Linked DNA regions of Lepisosteus oculatus. Each later gene encodes a partner of the first gene's protein in a complex. Links are inferred from orthologs where the notes say so. Each region holds a gene or a part of one and is shown on either strand. Other genes may lie near its edges.

Region 1 (11,607 bases):
TGCAGGACCTTCCACACTGCCCCCTGCTGGCCCTCCCACTGCCTGCAGCCTGGAGCTCTCCACTTCCTCACTGTCAGCACCTCCTGTTTCAACAAGAAGGTGGCCACGTGGAGGCTAATTTGGGGGGGGTATTGATGCATATAAAAGAAAGGAGCTTAAAATACAACATCCGTGGGTTTTAAAGCCCTCATATGACTATTATATAGAAAAATCAAATGCCGTGCTATGCTTCTCCAACTGCTTCTAGCAGATGTAATAAAACAGCTTCCTGCGGGGGGACTATTTCCTCACAGAGGTGCAGTGATCAGACGGAGAGTTCTGGGAGCACTTTGCCTAGCCCTGTCACTCAGTGAAATCCCTCCTCCTCCTTGCCGGGAACACTTCTGCGATGTATCTAGCCTTCAATTTGGGGCGCCGTACCATTGTTTCTATTGGCAAGGACTTGAAAGAGAGGGACGATCGCCACTAGGGCTGGCTCGAGAGAGACAAGTGACACCGGAAAGGATCGTGCACTAGAAAGAACTTCAGGCATAATCTATGCAACTTTCCAAGACTTCCCAGTCGAGGCGTCATCAGAGCTTCCTCTCCCAGTGAGATGATGGCGGTCTGTGTCCCCACAGCTGGGAACTCTGGACAAAGTTATTGAGATCTGGAATGCCCTCGTGTCATAGAAGAGAAAATCTTCTGGGGAAGGGGTTAAAATGCCTAACTACTTTTACAAACAGATGTACTTTTTATACATACACACGGGCTATATATATATTCATACACGTAGTCATTTGTTTGAGGACAACAACTAGTTTTCATAGTTTCCTTACTGAATTCTGACACTAGGCCTTTTCCTGGCTGTTGTTTTGATACTTCTTTTCTGCGACCGTAATGATACTAACGATATTTGGATTTCGTGTTTTGGCCATATTTCCCAATGTTTGCAGGTGGGTGGGGGGAATTCTGGGTGCGTCCAGGTTGTTGGGTAAAGAGTGTTTTTTTTTTATTGGATGTTGTTATCAGACAGGTGGGGGGAGAGATCTGAACTATCAGGACTGTGTTTACATGGGCTTGTTGGCTGCAGCCTTTTGACAGATTGTGAATTGGTGAGCTGTATGGTCTGAAGGTCTTAATTATTGCATTTGTGTGGACGTGTAACAGTAGAAATGTGGTCCTTTGGTGTGTTGATATGGGGGAAGGACCGCTGGGGTCTTTCTGTGTATTTGACATACAGCAGTTCATTCAGACACAAACCTGAAAGTGTCTTCACAGAACGTATTACTGGAGCATCAGATGATTGTACTATTTAAGTCTCCTAGTCAGGATCTGCCTTATATCAATAAAAAAAAAATCATTTATTCTTAATTTTAGAAGGGAGCCTTGTGTGTGTGTGTGTAAGGGTAAAAGTGTGTTCATAAAACACGGCACCATTTAAAAACTTTATATCTCTTGTCATGTCTGGAAATCTAGGACTGGAAGCTCTTGTGAATCGTACATGTGAGGGATTAGCTTTGCTAACGTGGGGAGGAATGTTGATCTTTATCCAGAGGTTTTCTTGCAGTGCCGCAGAAAGAGCATCTCTTTCTCTTTTTCCTCCCCGCTTGCAGTGGGAGCTCAGCGTGTTTCTCTCTGGGTAGCCAGACCTGCCAGATTTGCCTATATTGACCTTTTAGGGCCCTAAAGCATTCTTGTTTGTGTGTCCCAGTGGGTGAGGTACTGTTGCCCTAACTAAAAGTAGTGTAGTCTGTAATTTTAGTTTCTGCTACAGAGGAGACCCATGCTGGCTGTTCCAGGGGGAGTTTTATCAGTGTTGCATACAGCACAGTGCTTTTACAGTCGGAGTGCAGCATAATTTTGCTCCCCCGCCCCCTCTTAAGGAGTGTATGCAGTCAGTCTGGAGGAGTCTTTTTTTCAGAAGCTCTTCTTTTCAGCTCAAAATGCCAGATTACGCAGGGAACTAGGAACATGAGCAGAAGCAACAAAGAAGAGTTAACCAATAATACATTGCAAAATTGTCAACAATCAGAAAATGAAATAGAAACCTGTTGGAGAAGGTCTAGAAGTCCCTCGGCATGTTAGAACAGGGTGTTATGGACCTTTAGTCTGTTTTGCCTCCCTGCTGCCAAGATTTAAGCAATATGATTATTTTCCCACCTGCAGCAACCCACTCCCCCTCGGCCCTTAGATTGGTCAGAAAGAAATTCTCGACAACTGTATTTCCACACTCCTGCCTTGATGCAGCAGTGATTAGTTGCTTCTTTTTGTGAGGCACATTGGGATGTATGCATGTGGAGGCCACCCCCGTCACGGCTGACCAGCGAAACCAAAGGGCGACCAGGCTGCTGTTCGGTTTAACCACAAGGCGGCGCCCTTCTTCGGCTGTGCGCCCTTGGCACTTTTAGCCTCTTCCCTGCCCCTGAACGATGAGGACCATTGGTCACATTCCAACAGAGAACCGCACCTTCTGTTCTGCATGAGTCATCTGTCCATGGCATCCTCTCTGCGGCCACTGCTCGCAGGCCTGGGGGGAATAGCTTAGTCCAACCATCTGGCCACTGCTGGGACAAATCATTTCACCCCTCCCCCCCCCCCCCCCCGTGCCCTGCAGGACCACCTGCTGAAGGTGCATTTTAAACATTGTAAGAAGCAAGCTAGCAACAGAAGCCCATGTCCAGTCCTTGACACTTCTGAACTGCCATCCCTTGTATTCCAGGGTTTGTGTCACCTGCAGATTTTATTTATACAGCTAACATGGGTTTTTGATGCTTCATCTCCCCCTTCAGGGTTTTGTTTTTGGGTGCACAGGCAGTCAGGAAGGCACGCAGACAGGATGCTCTGTGTACCATAGGGGCGGATGTGATATTGAAAAGTCAGGCAATTCCATCACTGTGGCAGAGCTCTGCACAGGAGTGATTGTATTGGGACGTGGCTTGGCAGAGCTTGATAGCGAATGCAAAATGAAAGGCATTCTAAGAAGGCCGTGTCCACTGAAAGTCAACTCTGTACGGGAAGTGAGAGGTCTTCAGACAGGAAACATGCAGGCCATGTGACTGGAGATACCTGGACTGGTTCCTGAATGGATTGGAGGCAAAAAAAAAAAAAAGGAAGATTAGTTTAAGACATGATTTTGGATCGGAGCAGATGACACAATAAAAGGGACATATTGCTTCAGTCTGGCTGCAGAGTGTCACTAAAATTAACACACCCGCTTGGCATCTCCTTAGTATCTACAGTACTTTACCCTTACACACCGTGCTTTGATGATAAATGCACTTGTAGCTCTGCTTCCTTTGCAACTGGAAGTTTAAGTGTGATCTCCCATGACAGTTTCTGAGGAGTTTCTTGCCTCAACCCGAGTCGATGAGCAGTGTGTTCAAGCTGGGAGACCTGCCTGAGTGAAACAAGGAATCCTGTTGCCCCCCCCAGTGGACAGTTATCATCAATGTTCCTCGTCCATTCGGGGAAGCAAATTCTGAGCGTATGCGATGCCCGTTCCCTTGACTGTGTGAACCCCTGGACTGTGTTGTGCCTACTGCAGGGTAAAATGGTAACACAATCTTGTTTTGCTTTTTTATTCAAGATTCCCATTTTCTTTTTCTGAAGAAGTCCTAGAAGTGCCTCATTTCTGATGTGTGTTGTGAGAGCATAATGCTCTGTGTTCCCTTGAAAAATAAGAAACAACGCAACACTCAGTTTTTAGTTTTGATCATTTTACCCATTTTTTTACATTTATTTTACTATTCCACCTCCTACGTTATCCTGTTCCTTCTACCTTAAGTTAGCAAGATCTCCAAGGTTACAATAATATGGCATACCTCTCTGAAGGCTGATAAAAGCACACTCCAAAAAAAGACAACTATGCAGTTTCCTTATTCATGTCTGAAATGAATACAAAACTTAAATGCTGCTATGGGGGAAATAAAAGTGTTTTTATTTTATTTTTTTTCCCCCAAACAAAAGCAACCGACTGTTCTTATGTTTGCAGGAAACTCGTTGACACTGGTCAAGGGGAAATCGAAGAATAAAACTGGTACTGTGCTTTTCATTCCAGGAGAATTGAATTTACAGGGTGGAGGCAGACTGTTCATCTTCCAGCAGAACTAATCAAAACAAAAATCTGACCATTCCTCTGAGGCCTTGGACAAGAACTGTCAAATACACAAACAAGGAAAAAGACACAGAAATGAATCTGTATGTTCTATGCATATGTATTATTGTTGTTTTAAAAATGTATGCAAATATTTGCTGTAAAGTTTATTTTACCTTTTTGTACATATGGTCTTCAAATGTGTAACATATTAGAGAAACAAAAAATATTAATTGTTTTTAAAATGTTGCTAATATGAAATGGTGTAACATTGCTAAGCCAGCCTGCATGAAACAAGTCCCTTTAATATTTACATGGTTCAGTGCTTTAAAAAAAACAATGCAACCCCTGAGAAAACAAGTTCTATATATGTTGGAAATAAATGGAATTATTTAAAAAAAATCAGTAGGTGCGATTCGTTTTTTTTTCCTGTGATGAAAACATGAAAAACTCCTACAAACTACAATATCAGTCTAAAGGAATTTGCCTGAGAGCTACACTGACATGACAATAGAAACATATTTCTATCAAGAGGTCTTGTGGTTTTGGACAAGCTTGTTGTGTAGTGGTGGGTTGTTCTTATGCCTTAAGCAGCTGATTGATCTCGCAGCCTGTCTAAGCCCCGTGTTTTAGCATTTGTTATAAGTATTCCATTCATCATATTCTTTTCAGCATTATTTTTTAATCCTGCATGCTAACGAACAGTTCACTGCAGTATAGTGCTGTGTGGGGTCAATATGAAAGTCAGTGGATGTCTTGTATTTGGTTTTAGGGTAGATAAACCAAACAATATCCTGATTAAACGCTGTAATTGAATTCTAATTACTTGAGTTTACATCATACAGAAGCACTTCACATGCTGGAGGACCGTCTAAGTCAGAGGTTCCCACACTGCTGGTTTTCATTCCAGATTTTCACTGCAATATTTGCTTCTTGTTTTCAGTCACAATTTCATTTCACTTACAACATACACTGGCTAACACTGCAGCATGTTTAAGAGCCGGGAGCAAACGCTTCAAAAGTAATAGGTTTATTCCATGCTGAAAAAAAGAAGAAAGAGAACGCAACGTTTCGGCCGTGGAGCCTTCTTCAGGTGTCACCTGAGAAACGTTGTGTTGTCTTTCTTCTTTTTTTCAGCATGGAATAAACCCATTACTTGTTCCTTTGCAGCCTACGCATGCTGACGCAGCTCCCCACCTGATTATTATTAGGTCAACGAAGGATTTGATTGTGTAACTGGAACACCGACCAGCAGGTCTGGGGGTCACCAGGACTGGGACGGGGAACTGCTGCTCTAGGACGTGGACTGCAGGACTGTCATTCTGCACCAGCTGCCCGACCTCGCCGATCAGGCAGAGAGGTGAGAAACAGCTTCACCAGTAGGTGTCGTCGCTGTAGGGCTGCCTAGAAAAACTCTTTGTGCCTTTTTCCCCCCCCCAGTCTTGTAATTATGATCCTAAGTTTCATCTCACAGCTATCAAAATACAAGTAGAACATCAGCACACATCCATCACTCCTACAGTCGAAATGTGTCTCTTTTCTTTTCCTTTCAGCATAAGTAAACCTTTGCCTTCTATACCTCAAATATGATCAGGTTGACAAGCACTACAACTCCCACAATCCCTTACAGCCGGTTTGCGTTTTAACCTATTAGGCGATTGCATAGTGGCTGGTCGAGCAACCAATCACAGTGAGAGCTTTGTACCTTTTTTTTTTTAGAAGAATGACATCAGAGGCGCGACATGGTCTTGGTTTACGTAACACAACCGCATTAAAAACTTGCTCCTTATCAAAGGTGGTTTTCTTCCAATTCCCCTATCCGTATAAATATATATATATATTTTAAGTTTTTATTGAGCATCAAATAATACATGTAACGGAGAAAAGGTTTCCAAAAAAGATCAAAATATAAGTGAACGAAAAAAACAACAACACGGTGCCAGGGTACTTTCAAATCAGAACGCAATAGTTTCATATTTTTACATAAATTGTGTGTGTGTGTGTGGGGGAGGGTTGCCTTTTTCATTTTTTAGGTTTTTAAGGGAGTTTTAAGCAAAATTGCGATCATATAAGCTTTACAGGTTCCCATCCCGAATAATTACTCCCATTGTACATATATAAATCAATAAAATATCAAATACAAGACTTTTATTGTCCCAAGGCTCAATTGTCTGCGCTTCACATCTCCCTGCCTGCAGGTTCAGCTGGAAGGAAATACGTAAAAAATAAATATCCCGTCGCCTGCAGAGCAAAGGAAGCCATGATCCTTTAATGCGGTTCTGACACATGAATCCGGACAGTCAGGCCAGTAGGAAGAGGGCTTGAATTGGTTTTGTTATGCTGGTTCGCTTTTATGCGTTAAATATTAAAATGTAAGTATTGTATCATTTAGGTGATAATTAACTATATTCTGTATAGTTTCCAAAAAGCTTTACCGTTAGCACTTTGAACGCGATGCTTTTGTTGAGAATTTCACACATTTGACTAGACCGTTTCGGGAAAGGAGGTGACCCGCCCGTGAACACTTTTTTTCCCATATTCTTACTCTTGTTGTGGGGAAATTGTATAGTGTTCTTAAATATGGACCTTGTTTATTTGCCGACATCTCTACATTTGAGCAGTGTAGTGTTTGAACGCTTCAAGGTTTGTGTAACCGCCCTATACCGCACTTTTAATTTATTTTCGTGGTTACATGGAGCCGTCGGAGAAATGGAAAATTGGACAGCCTGGGTTTATTTATAAAGTGTGTGATAAATCCCCTGTGGGTTCTTGAAACTCTACTCTATCCCCACCTTTAGCTATCTTACAGTGAATAAACTGTGAGAGGCTGAGGCGAAACTGCCACTGAACTTTCTGGGGCAGAGTTTTACGCTGCAGTAATTGAAACATTTTCGCTGGCAATACATTTTCACAGTACAAAAACACTCACGCGTTTTCAGGCTTGTGTTGACAAGTGCCACCCCACTTGTGGAGGGATTTTATTACCGAAGTCTCCAGTGTTCCCGGATCTGACTTATCGTGAAGGGGAACGTGAACTACTCGAGAATCCTCTCAAGTTTAAGCGCCTCTACTTGCATTTTGAATTCTTTTTCGGGATATGTGCAGCGTCATTGTTCACACGTTGTAATTGGTTTGTGGTTGACGGTTAATACTGAATATCTGGGGCTTCCGAAGCAACGCAGTTGTTTCCAGTTAAACCCTGCGTTGTTTACACGGTATTTGTCTTGTGAGGCCTGCAGGTTGCTGTTCATAGCTCCTTCATGCCATGGCTGTGCTAAACTTTGCAGGTGGTTAATTAACTGTTAGACACCTGGACGTAAGATTGTAATTGTAAAGATCTGTGATCCGTTAAGACCTTGAAGGCTATTTTAGAAATGAATGTATTGTGTTCTTTAATATAGACCTTGTTTATTTTCTGACAACTCTACATTTGAGCAGTCTAATATTTAATAAGGCAATAGTGATGGGAGACGGGTGAAACTCTCCATACCTAGATTGGGAATTTGCACAAATTGTGGTGTAAGAATGAAATATATAAAAGCACAAGTTGCTGGCCTGGAGTTGGCACAGCCAGAAATAGCCTGTGTGCTCTCCCCAGCGGCGTGTCGGCGTGTCGGTGTGACGGGGTGGTGCAGCGCACGAGATGAAGGTGGTGAATCTCAAGCAGGCCATCCTGCAGGCCTGGAAGGAGCGCTGGAGTGACTTTCAGTGGGCCATCAACATCAAGAAGAACTTCCCCAAGGGAGCTACCTGGGACTACCTCAACCTGGCTGGTCAGTCGTGCCTCTGTGTGTGTTCCCGTCGCTGACTGTCTTGATGTCCTTTACGTCTCGTTAGGGCATTAGGACCCACACATACCGCAGGGTGAGCGCTCCCTACCAGTCCCACTCACACCTCTTCCAGCAGCAACCTTAGTTTTTCCCAGGAGGTCTCCATCCAGGTACTGGCCAGGCTCACACCTGCTGAGCTCCAGTGGGTTGCAGGGTGATACAGCAGATGGCTCTATGCTTGCTTGTTGATGAGGGATGGTGAAAGTTACAGCTACTGGATGTCTGCACATCTCTGCCCAGCTCCAAGCCAAGATGATCTGGTGGGCGATGGAGCCACTTAATTGTGGGTGGTAATAGTAAACAAACAACAGTGATATATTTTGTTAATTCTTGCAGCTTGGACAAGAAACACTGCACCTATGACTAACTTTTTCTATTACATTGTGCCCCTTGAGGAGCATGCAGTATGTGTGGTATAGTCGCTTTGTTGAATGGAGTTTCAGGTCTGGACACAGTCTAGTGGGTTCTTCTTTGGGCATTCTGATGCGTCATACTGGGTATTTGTTGTCCCCTGTGTGCAGAAGCTCTCCTGGAGCAGGCCATGATTGGACTGTCGCCCAACCCTCTCATCCTGTCCTACCTGAAGTACGCCATCAGTTCGCAGGTACAGTGCCAGGAGTACAGAGTGGATTGGAGGTTTAATGGAGGGATTTTTGGTTTGAGACATGCTTTGATCTGTGGGTCAGAGTGGTGAGGCGATATTGACATTGACATTGATATAGACAGTAAAATTAACTCTCGTCATCTTATTTCTCCCCTAGATGGTTTCCTATTCCAGCATTTTGACAGCTGTTAGTAAGGTGGGTATATGTTTTTTTTTTATTGCCAAAGCAAAACATCTGCAGTGTGCATTAGTTAATATAAATCACATTTCTACTGTACTTGGATAATAGATATTCCACGGTGTTCTTTTTAATTAATTCCCAAAAAGTTAAAAAGTTAATGCATTCTGCAGCTGTAGATCCCGGTGATGTTTAATAAGACAGGTGTCCTCTGCTTCTGTTCTCAATCTGTTTGGAAGCTGGGCACGTGACTGACCCTCACCACCCTGTTTATTCTGATTGGTCCCCAGTTTGACGATTTCTCCCGGGAGCTCTGCGTCAAGTCCCTGCTGGAGATAATGGACATGTTCTCCCATCAGCTCAGGTAGGCGAGGAATTACCCCACATTGCGAATAACATACTGATAGGTCAACGGAGGTCATATTCTTCGCAGAGTGGATCAGGCTGCCCAGCTGTGTTGCGGATGTGTGGATCAGTCCCGGCCTGTATTGCCTGTGTGTGTGGAGCTTGCATGGTCCTTGCTGGTTTCCTGGTTCTCCGGTTTCCACCCGCTTCCCAAAAGCTGTGCAAGTGAGGCTTCACTGTCCCCCAGGGTTTTGATCCCTTGGTGAAAGGCGATTGGGCTCCCTGTCTCACTACCTGTCCGTGGGCAAATCTCTTCCTTGCTACCAGTCTGCGCCAGGGGTGGGGGCACTGGTGTCGTCTGTCCAGGAGCCAGGGGACGGTCCCCCCAAGAGGTGAAGTCGGGCTAAACTGTAGGGCTCCCCAAGGGACCCTTACCCAGTCCTGATTATGGGCGGAGGCAGGCACAGCCTGACGGATCATCGCTGGTGTTATGGAAAGCGTGTGGCTGTGCCAACACCCCCCCCCCCGTTGTGCACCTCTTGTCTTACGCTCCTTCTCCCCCCCCCCCCCCAGCTGCCACGGCAAGGCGGAGGAGTGCATCGGGCTGTGCCGCTCCCTGCTGGCCGCGCTGGTGTGGCTGCTGCAGGGCTGCGCCTGGTACAGCGCGCGGCTGCGCGAGCAGGGGGAGCAGGCGGGGGAGGCCAGCCTGCGGGCCTGCGTGGACCGGCTGGAGGGGCTCCTGCGGGGCACCAAGAACCGGGCCCTGATCCACATCGCCCGGCTGGAGGAGCAGGGTCAGTGCCCCGCTCAGGGGGTTAGGGGACTGTTTTTTTTTTTTTTTAGATATGCTGTGACAAACCATTTGCACACCACAGTCGCCACAAGCTCTCATCACAAATGCAGCATTCTTTTGTCCGTTAGCGGTGCAGTTTCTGTCATGAGCGCAGGAATCTGACATTCCAGAAACAGGCACACAGCCACTGTAGAAGCAAACTGAGACCACGGTCTTGTCCCGCCCTCCCCTGGTTGTGATTGACAGCCTCCTGGACCAATGTGGAGCAGGCGGTGATCCGAGTGACGGAGAACCTCAACAGTTTGACCAATCAGGTGCTGAGGAGCAAGCTGGAGGAGTGCCTGTCATTGGTGAAGAGGTGAGCGCAGGGCGGGGTTGTGGTGATGATATTGGCTCTTTAGATAAGTGCACCCGGTAACCTGTGAAAGAAATCATTTCCACACAGATCAAGACTGGCCTACTCAAATAAACCTTATTAATGCAGGCTGCTGTAGCCTTTGATCTGTGCCATGCTTTCTCGCGGTGCAGCATTTCTTCAATGTCACGAGAGCCTTCAAGGGGAACCTTACCTCATAACCTGTAAGATGGGGAGGTGTTATATAAGACAGGGGTTCCCCATACCTCAAGGGGACGTCTTATCATGTACAGGCGTTCTTCATACTTCAAGAGGGTGGTGTTATATATAACGTAAGGGGGCATCTCATACCTCAAGCTCAATGGGTTCTGACCTTATTCTGTCTGTAAGCTCATGACAGTTGTGTATGCGGGGTGTGAAGACAGTTGTATGAGTCCTGACCCCTCCTCCTTCTGTCCATCTTTTCTCCTCTTTTCTTTCCCGGCCCCTTCCCTGGTTCCTACTTGTCTCCGCCCCTCTCCCCCAGTATCCCCCTGATGCTGGTGGTGCAGGCCGAGCCCCCCCAGCGCACCTCCTTCCCCTCGGTGCACACCCTGGTCATGCTGGAGGGCACCATGAACCTGACCGGGGAGACGCAGCCCCTGGTGGAGCAGCTCATGATGATCAAGAGGATGCAGGTGAGCGGGGGGTGCCGGCCCCGCCCCCTCCCGCAGGGACTCCCCACTGCGAGGAGGAGAGCGCCGCCACGCAGACTGGAGTCAGACTCGAGGTCTCGACGGCCGCATAGGGGCAGGCAAGTGTGTGGGAAGCAGATGAGGGCTCCATTGGCAAGGTGCACCTGTTGGCATCGCCGTGGTCCGGCTGTAAAAGCGCTTAGGCGCCCAGCGTTCGCTGAGCATCCTCTGAATGAGTGCTTTGTGAGGACAAGCTTTTCTTTTTTGAGAACTGTAAGTCTCGTGCCTTTGCTTTTTGAGCTGAACCCCTCATGGGAGCAACCCTGGGAATATTATTGCACCTTTTACATGGGTGACCAGGAGATGTCCCACACGTGGTTTATATATATATGTATGTGTGTGGGTGTGTGGTTTTTTGCACTGACGGTTCTTGCAGCTCCAGTGTAAGTCCCCGTGGAAGCAGGGCAGCAACGGCGAGGGGCTTGCCGGGATTAACCCTGTGTGTGTGTGTTTGCTGCCCACCCCCCCAGCGGATCCCCTCGCCCCTGTTCGTGCTGGAGATCTGGAAGGCCTGCTTCACCGGGCTGATCGAGTCGCCGGAGGGCACCGAGGAGCTGAAGTGGACCGCCTTCACCTTCCTCAAGGTGGGCGATGGGACAGGGGTGCTCTGCAGTTGCCCTTTAAGCAGCGCAGGTTCTTTTGCAAACCTTTAAGGATTGATTGGTTTTTGTCAACCTGCATTTTAGTTTCTAT
Region 2 (11,359 bases), on another chromosome or scaffold:
AAGGGCAATCCTGTACAAGAGTACAGTTCTTCTTTACGCTACTGTTCTGCAGTGGTGCTTCTGCGTTAATCTCCTATTCCTGTTCCCCTCCTCTGTCGCTCCCCCTCCTCCCTCTCTGTCCTGGCAGGACTGTCTGCGATCCTGCTTGGAGCAGATGGAGGATATGTTGCAGCGCCACCTGCCTAAATCATCCTGCCAACCCAGGACTCCCGAGCCTAGTCCCGTTGGCACCCCCACGGATATCCACGATGTCCACCTGACTGCGTCCGGCTCCCTCCTGTCGCCCCACAGCCCACCGAAGAGATCAGCTGGGGGAGGAGTGGACGGTCACTGAGGAGAAGGGAGACCCATCCCGGCATGGACGTACCCCAAGCTGAGCCCTGGTACGGGTGTACCCCAAGCTGAGCTCCGTGCCGAGACTCTGCCGTAAGCACGGACAACCAGCTCAGCTCAGCTCTCAGCCTTCCATTTTGGGTTCCAGCTGTTCAGTCTCATCATACTGTTTTTTATTGAAATGTATTTAAAACATTCCCAAAAAAATGCATTCGATCAACTGTTTGTTCCTTGTTGCACATCTGTTTTGTGCAGTTTTGTTTCAATTATGGCTGAAAGCACCCTGTTTGTTCCAGTGGGCTGGAGAGCCTAACCTGTCGCCCTTCTAGTACATTTCACTGCAGCAGCCAAACTGGATACAGCACCACGTTGTATTCATCCTGCTAATTTTCAGTAAAACAAATGTAGCAGAATTCTGCACTGCATGTTACTAGAGAGGATGCAAGCCGAGTAGCCCTGTTCTGATGGAGAAAGAATGGATATGGATCCCTTTCCTCCCATCTGTTCAACAGTTTTGTTGGAGAATTTTGAGAATTATTTTTTCTAAGCCTGTTTGTCCCAGAAGCATAACTGCTGTGTCAAAGACTGCATCTGCAGGTGTGAGTGTTTGTCAATTAGCCAACAGTATCACTAACTGCTCCTGTTTGGAGAGTTTAAAATGTCACCTTTTCAAATAAAACACAAGACTGCTGCTGTTAAAAGATTTTTAAACAATGAAAATTAAAATATTGAATTGTATTTTGTGGCTGTTCAGTGGTGGTGATGTCTCATTTCTGGTCTTGGGAGCAGCTGGAATGTGTCATTGTGCACAAATAGCTCTTCTCTGTTGCAGAAACACACTGAGAACAGTTTCTGTTATGGTCACTGGAAGGTTCTATCTATAAAAGTTATGTTATACTCCACAGATGTTTTTTAAAATAGTTCTACAAACCCAAATTACAAGCACCAAAGTCCCAAATACAAATTATGAACTTAGTATAGGAAAAGGGCCTACACCAGGCTTGGATCTCAACTTGAAAATACATAGCTGAGTAAAACACAAAATTATAGAAATCGATCATTTTGATTAAGCTGGGAGCATGTGATGGCTGATCAGAAATGAAGTCTATTTTAGTGAACCTGGATCTGTTCAACCCTAATATGAGAAAGAAGCCACTAAAGCAGCAGAGACACAGTAAATTACTCGGTATATAAATTAAGTATGCAGTGATCAATACTTTTAAAATGTTATCCCAGTTGTTCAGTAAGTGCTATACACAGTGAAAACCCCTCATGAAGATCCTCAACCTTTTGAGTTCAGTTCCTGAGTCAGGTTGGATTACATCCGTGAACTCAAAACAATGCACACAAATACCAACCAAGTACTTTTAATGCTGCAAGTTTACATTAAACCTCCTCATTGTTTGTTCTGATTGGCAGAAACTCACCCAGCAGCCTGTGAGTCAGAGTCAGAGTATGCCCGCTCTGGTGGGTGAGAAGTTCAGTAAACAAACAGTGTGGTTCTGCAGTTGCTGTCTTTTCAATTTCAGTTTTCCACTTGGGCTTCTTCGCGAGTCTAGACGGCTTTTTGGGAATGTCTATGGCCAGTTTTAGAAAGCTGACAGCTCCACACAGCAGCAGCCTCGGGCCCTAAACACCCCTTGCCCTCCCAGCTCTGCTAACTGGCTCTACACAACTCACAGCTTTTTTCCTCAGTAAGAGCAGCACGCACTGAGCTTGCACAACATGCCACAGCACTCTCTGACAACTACTTGAACGCTTGCTTGCTGGCAGGCGGGGTGACTCCCTTCGTGACGGTGTCTTTATCAGAGAAGGGTGCCTCCAGCTGTGAAGACGGGACCTCCTCTCCCAGTCAGAAGCCTCGTCCCCTTCACATTCCCCAGACCCCGCCAATCCCATGCGAAATCCGCATCCCGAGTCGCACAGTCGAGCTGAGCCCAGGGCAGGACTGAGCCGGCCCATTCCCCCCACAGGGAAACATTTGCTTCTGCTCCAGGAAAGAAGAGAAGAAAGGCGCCATTGCGTTTTGTTGAAATCAAGAGGAAGCACGACGTTCTGCCGTTTGGCCTGGAACAGGGAAGCGACGCAATTTCTCTAGAACATGATGAGGCAGGAAGGCGGGGGGCCGGGGCCGGAGGGCGTCTAGTCCAGGGCCATGGCGGGGGCGGCGGTCTCCTCGTCGCGGGACTTCGAGTGCTGCAGCTCCCGGCGCACCTCGGCGGAGATCTGGGGGTGGCAGTGCACCCTGAGCAGCTCCAGGAGCGCCCCCTTCTGCTCGGACGACAGGTCCTCCTTGTAGCGCTGCGCCAGCGTCAGCAGGCTCTGGTGCCACAGGACAGGCAGCGCGCGGCGGTCGCTGCGGAAGCGCAGGAAGTGGAAGACCAGCGCGTCCAGCACGCGGAAGGGCAGCGCGTACTTCTTGTCCAGGAGCAGGCGCAGGAAGATGCTGTTGGCGCCGGTGTACTCCATCTCCGCCAGCTTCAGCATGGCCGCGCTGGAGGAGGGGAAAGACAGGGACCATTCAGTGTGCTGAACTTGCCCGAACCTCTGCAGCATGAAGGGGACCTCTGAGCCCCTGCCCAAAGGGCTGTGGGTTTGAATCCCAGGTGGGGCCTCTGCTGTTTACCCCAGAGTAAAACAACACACCTCCAGAAATGGACACCAACATGTGTACATGGGGGAAAAAAAAAGGTGCTGCAATAGTAACTTCTGGAGGTTGCGCTAGATAAAAGTGCCTGCCAAATAACGAAATAATATTGCCGGCCCTCCCTCCTGCTTGTGTACCTGGAGTGCAGGACAGGGATGGAGCACTTGGTGATGATGCTGCCGATGATGATGGCCTCTCTCAGCGTGCAGGTCCCCGACTCGCACAGGGGGATCAGGATTCCTGAGCGAGAAAGAGGGGGGAGAGACGTTAGCGATGTGGCTCATCTCCTGCACTGCCAGGGACGGCCATTATAAAGCCTTAGACTCTCACCCTTGAACCAGGCCCCAGGCTTGAAAAGCGCCTTCTTCAGCGCGCTGTACAGGTGGAAGTTGAGCCGTTTATACTCCGCGATGTCATCTCGAATCCGCGGCAGCAGGACAAGGTTATAGAAGCGTTGAGCCATCCTCTCCTTCAGATTGGAGGAGAAGATCCTGCAGGTGGCAACAGGGAGAAAGAAAAATGAGGCGTAGAAAAGGGACACCTGCACACGGACAATAATTCACACAGGACACATCCGACAGCTGTCGCTTGACCTGGTTGAGTTTAACCAGGTTGTACTGTATACATTGTACCGATTAAGCATAACAGTAGCAATTAGCTTTACACGCTCTTCTGTGCATATTGAGGCACATATGAATTCCCATCACAAATTCAAAAGCCGCTACCAGTTGAATAAAAGCCTGCAGTTTGTAAAACTATAAGTGGATCAGAATCCTGCGCAATGGGTGCTCTCATGTTCTTGGACGCATAGCCCTACGAACACGGAAAGAGTTTGGGGCTGAAGTGGTTTATGAGAGAATGTTTTCTTGGTTAAAAAAGAGAACCACTTTACAGAGACGACAGGAAAGCCTCTCCTCTGTCCGTTTGCACAGTGTCAGCGCTACAAACCAAAAGAACAGCAGTGCGGTCTGCCGGCCAAGTGTTTCGGGAGCTGTGAGGGGAGTGTTGATCTCACCGTGTGGCCTGGTACATCGCTGCCGCCGTCCAGGTCTCCGGCTCTGTGATGTACAGCACCTGCTCCCAGTTGGACAGAGCAGGCACGATCTTGAAGGCCTTGGGCAGCTTTCCGCTGCGGTACTTGGACAGAACCTGGGAGAGTGCGTCAGAAAGGACAGTGAGGGAGAGACAGGGAATGGCAGCACACAGACTGAGAGAGAGGGTGTCCCCGCCCACACCGTGGCCCAGCACAGGACGCTCACCTCCTTCACCCCCTTGTACACCTCAATGACTCGGGGGTCCAGCTGGGGCATGGGGTGCCCCGACACCTCCGACATCACCGTCTCCACCTCCGTCTGCTTCTCTGTGATCTTCTCCATGATGATGTCCGCCAGAGTCCTCCTGGGGGAAGAGGCACAGTCGTGAACGCAGCCTGACACACTGAGGCCGGAGGATAGCAACCACGCACTCCGCACACGGGGGCAGGACATTCCAGGCTGGAACAACGCAGGGCTTAAGGAGACAGTCACTTGTCTGCTGTTGGCCACATCAAACCCTGGCAGACAGACCCCAGAACTCCCGAGTGCCTCAACAGTCTGGACTCCTGGACCGCTCCTGAACATTGACTATTACTGGACACACAGGGACTCTGCTGCTGGAACTGATGTGGGGTCTTTTCATTGCCAGAGAAAAGATGGTCCCATCTCAAGGATTTCTAGACGTAAACAGATATTCAAGGCAGCTTTTCCAGCAAAGTTCCGTACGTGTGGAAGAGAGCACTGCACACGATTTGTGGATTGTGGTTGAGAAACACTGAGTAAACTCTGGGCTGCGCTGCTGGAATTCTAGCAGGTTTGCTGTTGCATTGCCAGAGCCCGGCTCTGTGAGGTAGGTCGGTCCGGGTCAGTACCTGAGCGGCGGGTTCTTGCTCATGAACATCTGGATGGCCTTCTCATCCTCCGGGTCCACCTCCACCTCTGCCCCTGCCGCCCCCTCCCCGTCCTCTCCATCTCCCCCCTGCCCCAGCGCCGGCCATTCCTCCTCCTCCGAGTCCGAGTCCCTGGAGCCAGAGCCTGCAGGGCAACAGGAACAGGTCAGAAAACCCCATCAGGGCTGTTGGGAGCTAGCTGATCCCATCATTTCACCCAGATCTTTCCAGAAATGGCCCAGGGAATGAACTCCAACAACATGGCTGGGCCACTTGTTTCAGACCTCCACCACCCTCTGTGTATAGAAGTACCTCCTGGTCTCAGTTTTTAAGAACTCTTCCCAGTAGTTTTCACTGTTGGTTCTGAATCAAATCGCAACACTCTACAGCGATACAGTTTGAGACGGTGACAACCCCCCTGCCCATAACTCTCAGGACACTAGACACCAAAGGAGGATTCAATGTTTGCTACTTGCTCTCAAAGTGCCAGCATTACGGCTGGCTTCATGAAAACCTGGCCAGGTGGGTGATGGGATTGTGGCCTCTCGCTAGGGGTCGCGCCGGAGGCCGTGTGTGACCAAGCAGCTGAAGCACAGCAGAGAGAAGCGGTATCTGATTTCCACCTCTTTTGTACGAACAGTTCACGAACAGGACGCCTCACTCATGTCACTCTCCTTACAAACAACGCGGCACGCACAGCCGAGATAGGTCGCACCCGTGCCGGACGCAGGACCAGCCCGTGACAAGCGGCACGCGTTCTGTCACCCTCGCTAAACACTCACCCAGCACGGTCGTGGGCTGCTTTTTACTCTCCGCAGTCTTCCCGAGCCCGCACTCCGCCTCCAGCTCCTCCTGCTGTATCCGAGCCTGCTCCAGGATCTTCCGGGACAGCCGCTCGTCCACGTACTCGTCCTCAGCCTCCTGCCGGCGGCCACGGCTCTTCACCCGGCCGCTGCTCTTCACCTCATCGCTCTGCAGGATCTGCTCGGCCAGAGGAACCATCGCGACTCGGCTGTGCTCCGCTCTCCCTCCGCCTTTCGTCTTCTTCACTTTCGGCATCTCCGTAGGCGCCGATTCGCTCTGCTGTCAGAGTTCTGTTTGTCTTGTGTGCCGAAACCTGTAAAACAGACTTAAAACTCTGCCCGCACATGTGGAGAAAGACCACTCAGCAAGCACGCGTGACCCTTTGCCACTCACCGGAAATGATGTCACCGCCCCTCCACCCCGCACAATCATGGCGACACTCGAAGCACAAAAAATAAAATTGAAGACAACTTTTAAAAACGTCTTTATAGGAAGTCTTGAAAATGATCATTTAATTTCACGATAAGAATAATATGAATATAAATTAGCTGTACTAATTTGTTATTGTCAACCTCCGATCGTGGCGTCACTTCCTCTTCCTGATAACAGGAAGCTCGTGTCTGAAGTAACGTGAAGTTAGAGGAGTCTTGTTCTGTCAGAGGCGAACATGGGTGTAACGTGGTAAGATTAGTTATTTGAATCTTTTATTGCAGCAGAAACGTCATTTCATTGACAATGGCGATCCGGAGCGTATTGTTTTACACGGCTGGACATGGTGTTGGAGCAATGCGAGTTTCATACCTACGTGTACAACAACATAGTCACAGCTGGGTTCCTCGGGTCCAGAGCCTCACCATAAATATTAAATAATACGATAACAGACGTTTTTAAACTGGTTAACCGCGGCCCTGGTGGGGCTGCGCCGACAGCAACAGTTGTGAGTTTGCGGACTTTAGAAGCCATTTGAAACGAAATGGTCTGCAGTTTGAAAGGAGGCAGCGTGCTTTGTTTACGTGCAGGGACAGGGTGTGCTATATTAGCGGAGTCTCTGGTCCGGCGGTATATCGTTACAATTACAGTATGATGATGCTGCAGGAGGAGAAGAAGGTGGTTTGGAGAAAGGAGCTGTTTTGAATTATGTAACTGCAGCCTGGCTAATGCAGGTTATTCCAGAACCGATTGCATTTTCCAATTTAGCAGTATGTTTAAAAAGCTTTATGCACAGTTGTGTCACAAGATGACACTTTTGAACCAACTCTTAAAATAGCACTATAGTTTTGCTCGGTTCCTAGAACAATTTATTTAAAACTTTTATGCATTTAAAAAATATATAATTTAAACGATCTAATTGATATATGATGCTTTGCTTTTTTGTTTTTAAACTATCTGCTTTATAAGAACTCAACTCCAGTCTTGACTTGACACAGTCCGGCAGTGTGTTAAAAATACCAGTTAAACTCATAATTTGTTCAGTTAGGAAGGTTATTAGTTGAAATCAGTGTGTGTGTGTGGAGTGTTAGCTGTAACCCTGTGCTCTGGCAGTGTGTGTGTGTGGAGTGTTAGCAGTAACCCTGTGCTCTGGCAGTGTGTGTGTGTGTGGAGTGTTAGCAGTAACCCTGTGCTCAGGCAGTGTGTGTGTGTGTGGGGAGTGTTAGCAGTAACCCTGTGCTCTGGCAGTGTGTGTGTGTGTGGGGAGTGTTAGCAGTAACCCTGTGCTCTGGCAGTGTGTGTGTGGGGAGTGTTAGCAGTAACCCTGTGCTCTGGCAGTGTGTGTGTGGGGAGTGTTAGCAGTAACCCTGTGCTCTGGCAGTGTGTGTGTGCGGAGTGTTAGCAGTAACCCTGTGCTCTGGCAGTGTGTGTGTGGGGAGTGTTAGCAGTAACCCTGTGCTCTGGCAGTGTGTGTGTGTGTGCGGAGTGTTAGCAGTAACCCTGTGCTCTGGCAGTGTGTGTGTGTGTGCGCGGAGTGTTAGCAGTAACCCTGTGCTCTGGCAGTGTGTGTGTGTGCGCGGAGTGTTAGCAGTAACCCTGTGCTCTGGCAGTGTGTGTGTGTGCGCGGAGTGTTAGCAGTAACCCTGTGCTCTGGCAGTGTGTGTGTGTGCGCGGAGTGTTAGCAGTAACCCTGTGCTCTGGCAGTGTGTGTGTGTGTGGAGTGTTAGCAGTAACCCTGTGCTCTGGCAGTGTGTGTGTGTGTGTGGAGTGTTAGCAGTAACCCTGTGCTCTGGCAGTGTGTGCCAGGTGCCGGTGGTGGAGGGGAAGAGTGTCCAGCAGACAGTGGAGATGCTGCACAGGAAGCTGGAGCAGCTGGGAGCAGTGAAACAGGGCAGTTTCTGCGTGGACTGTGAGACCTACCATGCGGGGGCCATGGGCACTACAGGTGAGAGCGCTGAGCGAGGGAGCGTGGTTACTCTGGATAAAGAGAGAGGTAGAGTGTTGTGGAGAGAGTTGTCCAACACAAAATAGCACTGAGAGCTTGAGACAGAGGGTATTAAAAAAGCTAATAAGGAAAGGGGGAAAGATGCAGATAGATAATACCCCTAGCGCACAGAGGCTTGATGCAGAAGTAAAATGTTTGTGTTAGAGACCCAGGCTGAGATGGTACAAAGATGAACGCCCTGCTGGCCTGTACATTCTCCCTCTCTCACCCCAGGGCAGCCCACCAAGTTCCTGTACGTAATGCACAACTCGGAGATGCCTTTGAGCTGCTTCGCTCTCTTCGAGGGCGGGCCCTGCCTGGTGGCCGACCCCAACTTCGACGTGCTGATGATCAAGCTGAAGGGCCACTTCCAGAACGCCAAGGGTAACAAGGTGGAGAGCCGTGGCACGCGCTTCCAGTACTGCGACTTCCTGGTCAAGGTTGGCACCATCACCATGGGCTCCAGCGCCAGAGGGATCTCTGTGGAGGTGAGGAGCAGGAAAGCACCCAGTGGGAGAAGTAGAGGTGGGAAGGGGGCAGGAGTGAGGAGCTGAAAGGCTGCTAACATTGCGTGTGCCCGTGTGTGCAGGTGGAGTACTGCCCATGTGGGGTGCCCAACGACTGCTGGAATCTGATGAAGGAGTTCATGCAGGGATTCCTGGGACCCCACACCCCCGAACTGCCCATGGTCTTCACTGCCAAACCCGACGGCATCTACAGCCCCTCCGACTGCTCGGACACCATGGCGCAGTACCTGGAGCTCTTCGGCAAGGTGCGCAAGCAGCAGGTGGCAATCGGGAGCAGCATGCGCTGAGAGGAGGCCCCCGAGTTCCAGAACAGGTTCCCATCCCTGCACGAGCCTGAGCCAGCTGTGCTTGTGTGTGCGCGGGTCCGAGTGGGACACTGGACTTCCTGCGCGAGAGGCACAGCAGCCTGCTGGAAAGCTCCTGGCGCCTGGAGAAACATTCCTCCTGTTCCAGCTCATAGCAAGGGGATCATCCCAGTGTGCTGTTGACAAATACTGAAGGTTAAAGGTGTTTGCGCGCTCTGCTAGAACTTGTTCCAGGCGGCCGCAAAAACTTTTCAAGTGTTTCCTTTGCAAGGAAAATGATTCTTATAATGTGATCCTCCTTCTTCAAGTTAAGTAAAAACTTGGTCAGTTTTCAGGTTTCAGGTGTTTTGGTTCCTAGTACTTCTGCATTAATACTAATGTGACAGCAGTGCTAATCACCCTGTACGCTGGGCTGGGTCTGGTCAGTTCTGGGATGGGAGGCAGTGGCCCTGAGGAGGCCAGAATTTCCAAACCTGTGCCTCTGTATAGTAACAAGGTAACGAGGGATGCTGTGCTGTAGGAGGTGACTTCCTTTGGATCAGACATTAAAACATTGAAGTCCTGTCTACTTGGTCATTAGAAGACCTCGGGGCACTGTTTACAAAAGGACAGGTGCTAACCCTGCTGTCATGACTATAATCCACTAGGAATATGTACAGTCTAGCTTCCATAACATTTTCTGTAATCCTACTGGTGAAGCAAATTCTTCTCGGTAATTCACCCTATCTGCTGCGTGTCACTCGGGTGACTGATGCCACACTTCTGCAGTGGATAAACTGCGTCCCCTCCTCAAGATACAGCTGTAGGGAGCGCAACGTGCTAAACAAAAATGAGTAAAGACGAGCTCTCAAGGTACGTCACAACTGTAAGGACCCCCTGTGTTTCTTCACTACTCATGCGAGTTCTGCTGTGTTTGAACAGAAGCAGCCAGGTGTGCGGAAGAGGTGGTCAGGGTATAAACGGTGCTTCCTTCTGTGGAACTGGGAGTGGGGGGTGTTTGAGAATGGAGACCAGGCCAGCTTTCAAGGGCGCAGGAGTCATGCAGATACCTCCTGCTTCTTGTGATCCACATGGTGTCTGCTGCATAAGTAAAGCTTTGCTCCCAAGGAAGCGTTTTCCTCTCGACATCACCAACAGGACTTTGAACTCTGCAGTTATCACCAAGGCGAGACTCCTGGAGAGTCTTAGCGAGAAGCAGTGCTGCAGGGAGAAATGAAAATGTCGCTGTGCACAGCAGGGCAGGGCAGCGCAGGGTAGCAGCTCCCAGTTACAGGCAGTGAGGCGATCTGTGTGCCGTTTTCGTGCACTGGCTAGGCCTGGCAGGTGTGGCTCTGATCCGGACGTCTCGGAGTCTGGGAATTAGCCTCTTAACAGGTTTTGTGGAGTGAATCCGTGTTACAGTCTCCTGCAGGAGTACTGCAGGATTCCAGGGAAAACTATTTCCCAATGATGAGCTGAACCTGAAGCACGTTGTTCTGCCTCCGTGTTCCCCAGCGTGCCGCCGTGGGGACGGTGGAGGTGACGATGTGGGAAAAATTGCCTGTTGCTTAACTGCATCTTTGAAGGTGCCGGTCTGTCAACGGAATGCGTGTCTGAGGAAGGAATGTATGGGTTTTGTTCCTTTGAGCTTATAAGACCCGCCGGCTTTTTAGTTGGGTGTTTATTTAGAAATGGAAAAAATGCGGTCGTTTTACAACGGAGTGGAAAAGTGGTTATTTTTAATATAAGGTCCCCTGACACAGGTGAAGCTGACGTGACAAAATTGGAAGTTTTAATATCATCACTCCTTATGGCGCAACGTCATGACTGAAATATATAAAAATGTATCGTAGGATATTTAGACTGTGCCCTAAACGAATGTCTATTTGTCTATTTGAAAACGAAATCCTTTAGGACACCCCTAAAAATGCAGCAGGTCCTTCAGTTTCGGTCGAGCGATCAGTGTAACGACGCGCAGCCGGGTGGGAACTGTTGAAGGAAATACCCACCGGGCCAGGTTGTACCCGGCTCCGGCTCCTAGCAAGGAGCCGCAACTTGTTGAAATGCGAGACATAGTGACGCCAAAAAGTGTTTTCTTCCCTTCAATATAATCGGCGTTAGAATAATGTCGGAAATTATAGTTAAATTAAGGCTGCGTCTTTGAAAAGCGAAAACCAGCTATTTTGACCACTTCTATTATGCCCAAGCAATGGTATTTTAATTTACATATATTTTAATTCGGTCCTAATCTTTTATTAACGTCTTCGGCACTGGCTTTATTTTCACACCCGGGCCTTGGGGTTTGTAGCAAGATGAGCATCAAAACAACTCTGTAAGGAATAATAATAATAAAAAAACGAAACGTTTATGCCTTTATAAATTCTCTTTGTCTGTGCGTGAATACCTTACTTACTACCCTTTCCGTCC

The links.
Region 2: med24 (region 1) and med20 share a complex: the UniProt entries of both Homo sapiens proteins name them as parts of the mediator complex. The link is inferred for Lepisosteus oculatus from reciprocal best matches to the Homo sapiens genes MED24 and MED20.

What each region holds. Positions count from the first base shown.
Region 1 is NC_090723.1:6,285,321-6,296,927, forward strand, and holds the start of med24 (mediator of RNA polymerase II transcription subunit 24), read left to right. Parts: upstream 1-6,324; 5' UTR 6,325-6,447; intron 6,448-7,673; 5' UTR 7,674-7,718; coding exon 7,719-7,848; intron 7,849-8,426; coding exon 8,427-8,509; intron 8,510-8,666; coding exon 8,667-8,705; intron 8,706-8,977; coding exon 8,978-9,051; intron 9,052-9,605; coding exon 9,606-9,826; intron 9,827-10,071; coding exon 10,072-10,183; intron 10,184-10,706; coding exon 10,707-10,857; intron 10,858-11,384; coding exon 11,385-11,498; intron 11,499-11,607. UniProt on the Homo sapiens protein: Component of the Mediator complex, a coactivator involved in the regulated transcription of nearly all RNA polymerase II-dependent genes.
Region 2 is NC_090700.1:40,788,373-40,799,731, reverse strand, and holds med20 (mediator of RNA polymerase II transcription subunit 20), read left to right. Parts: upstream 1-6,291; 5' UTR 6,292-6,375; coding exon 6,376-6,389; intron 6,390-7,933; coding exon 7,934-8,082; intron 8,083-8,355; coding exon 8,356-8,609; intron 8,610-8,710; coding exon 8,711-8,935; 3' UTR 8,936-9,283; downstream 9,284-11,359. Other genes in the region: ccnd3 (G1/S-specific cyclin-D3), read left to right, coding at 128-334; bysl (bystin), read right to left, coding at 2,476-2,827, 3,118-3,220, 3,311-3,471, 3,996-4,129, 4,240-4,378, 4,887-5,049, 5,687-5,963. UniProt on the Homo sapiens protein: Component of the Mediator complex, a coactivator involved in the regulated transcription of nearly all RNA polymerase II-dependent genes.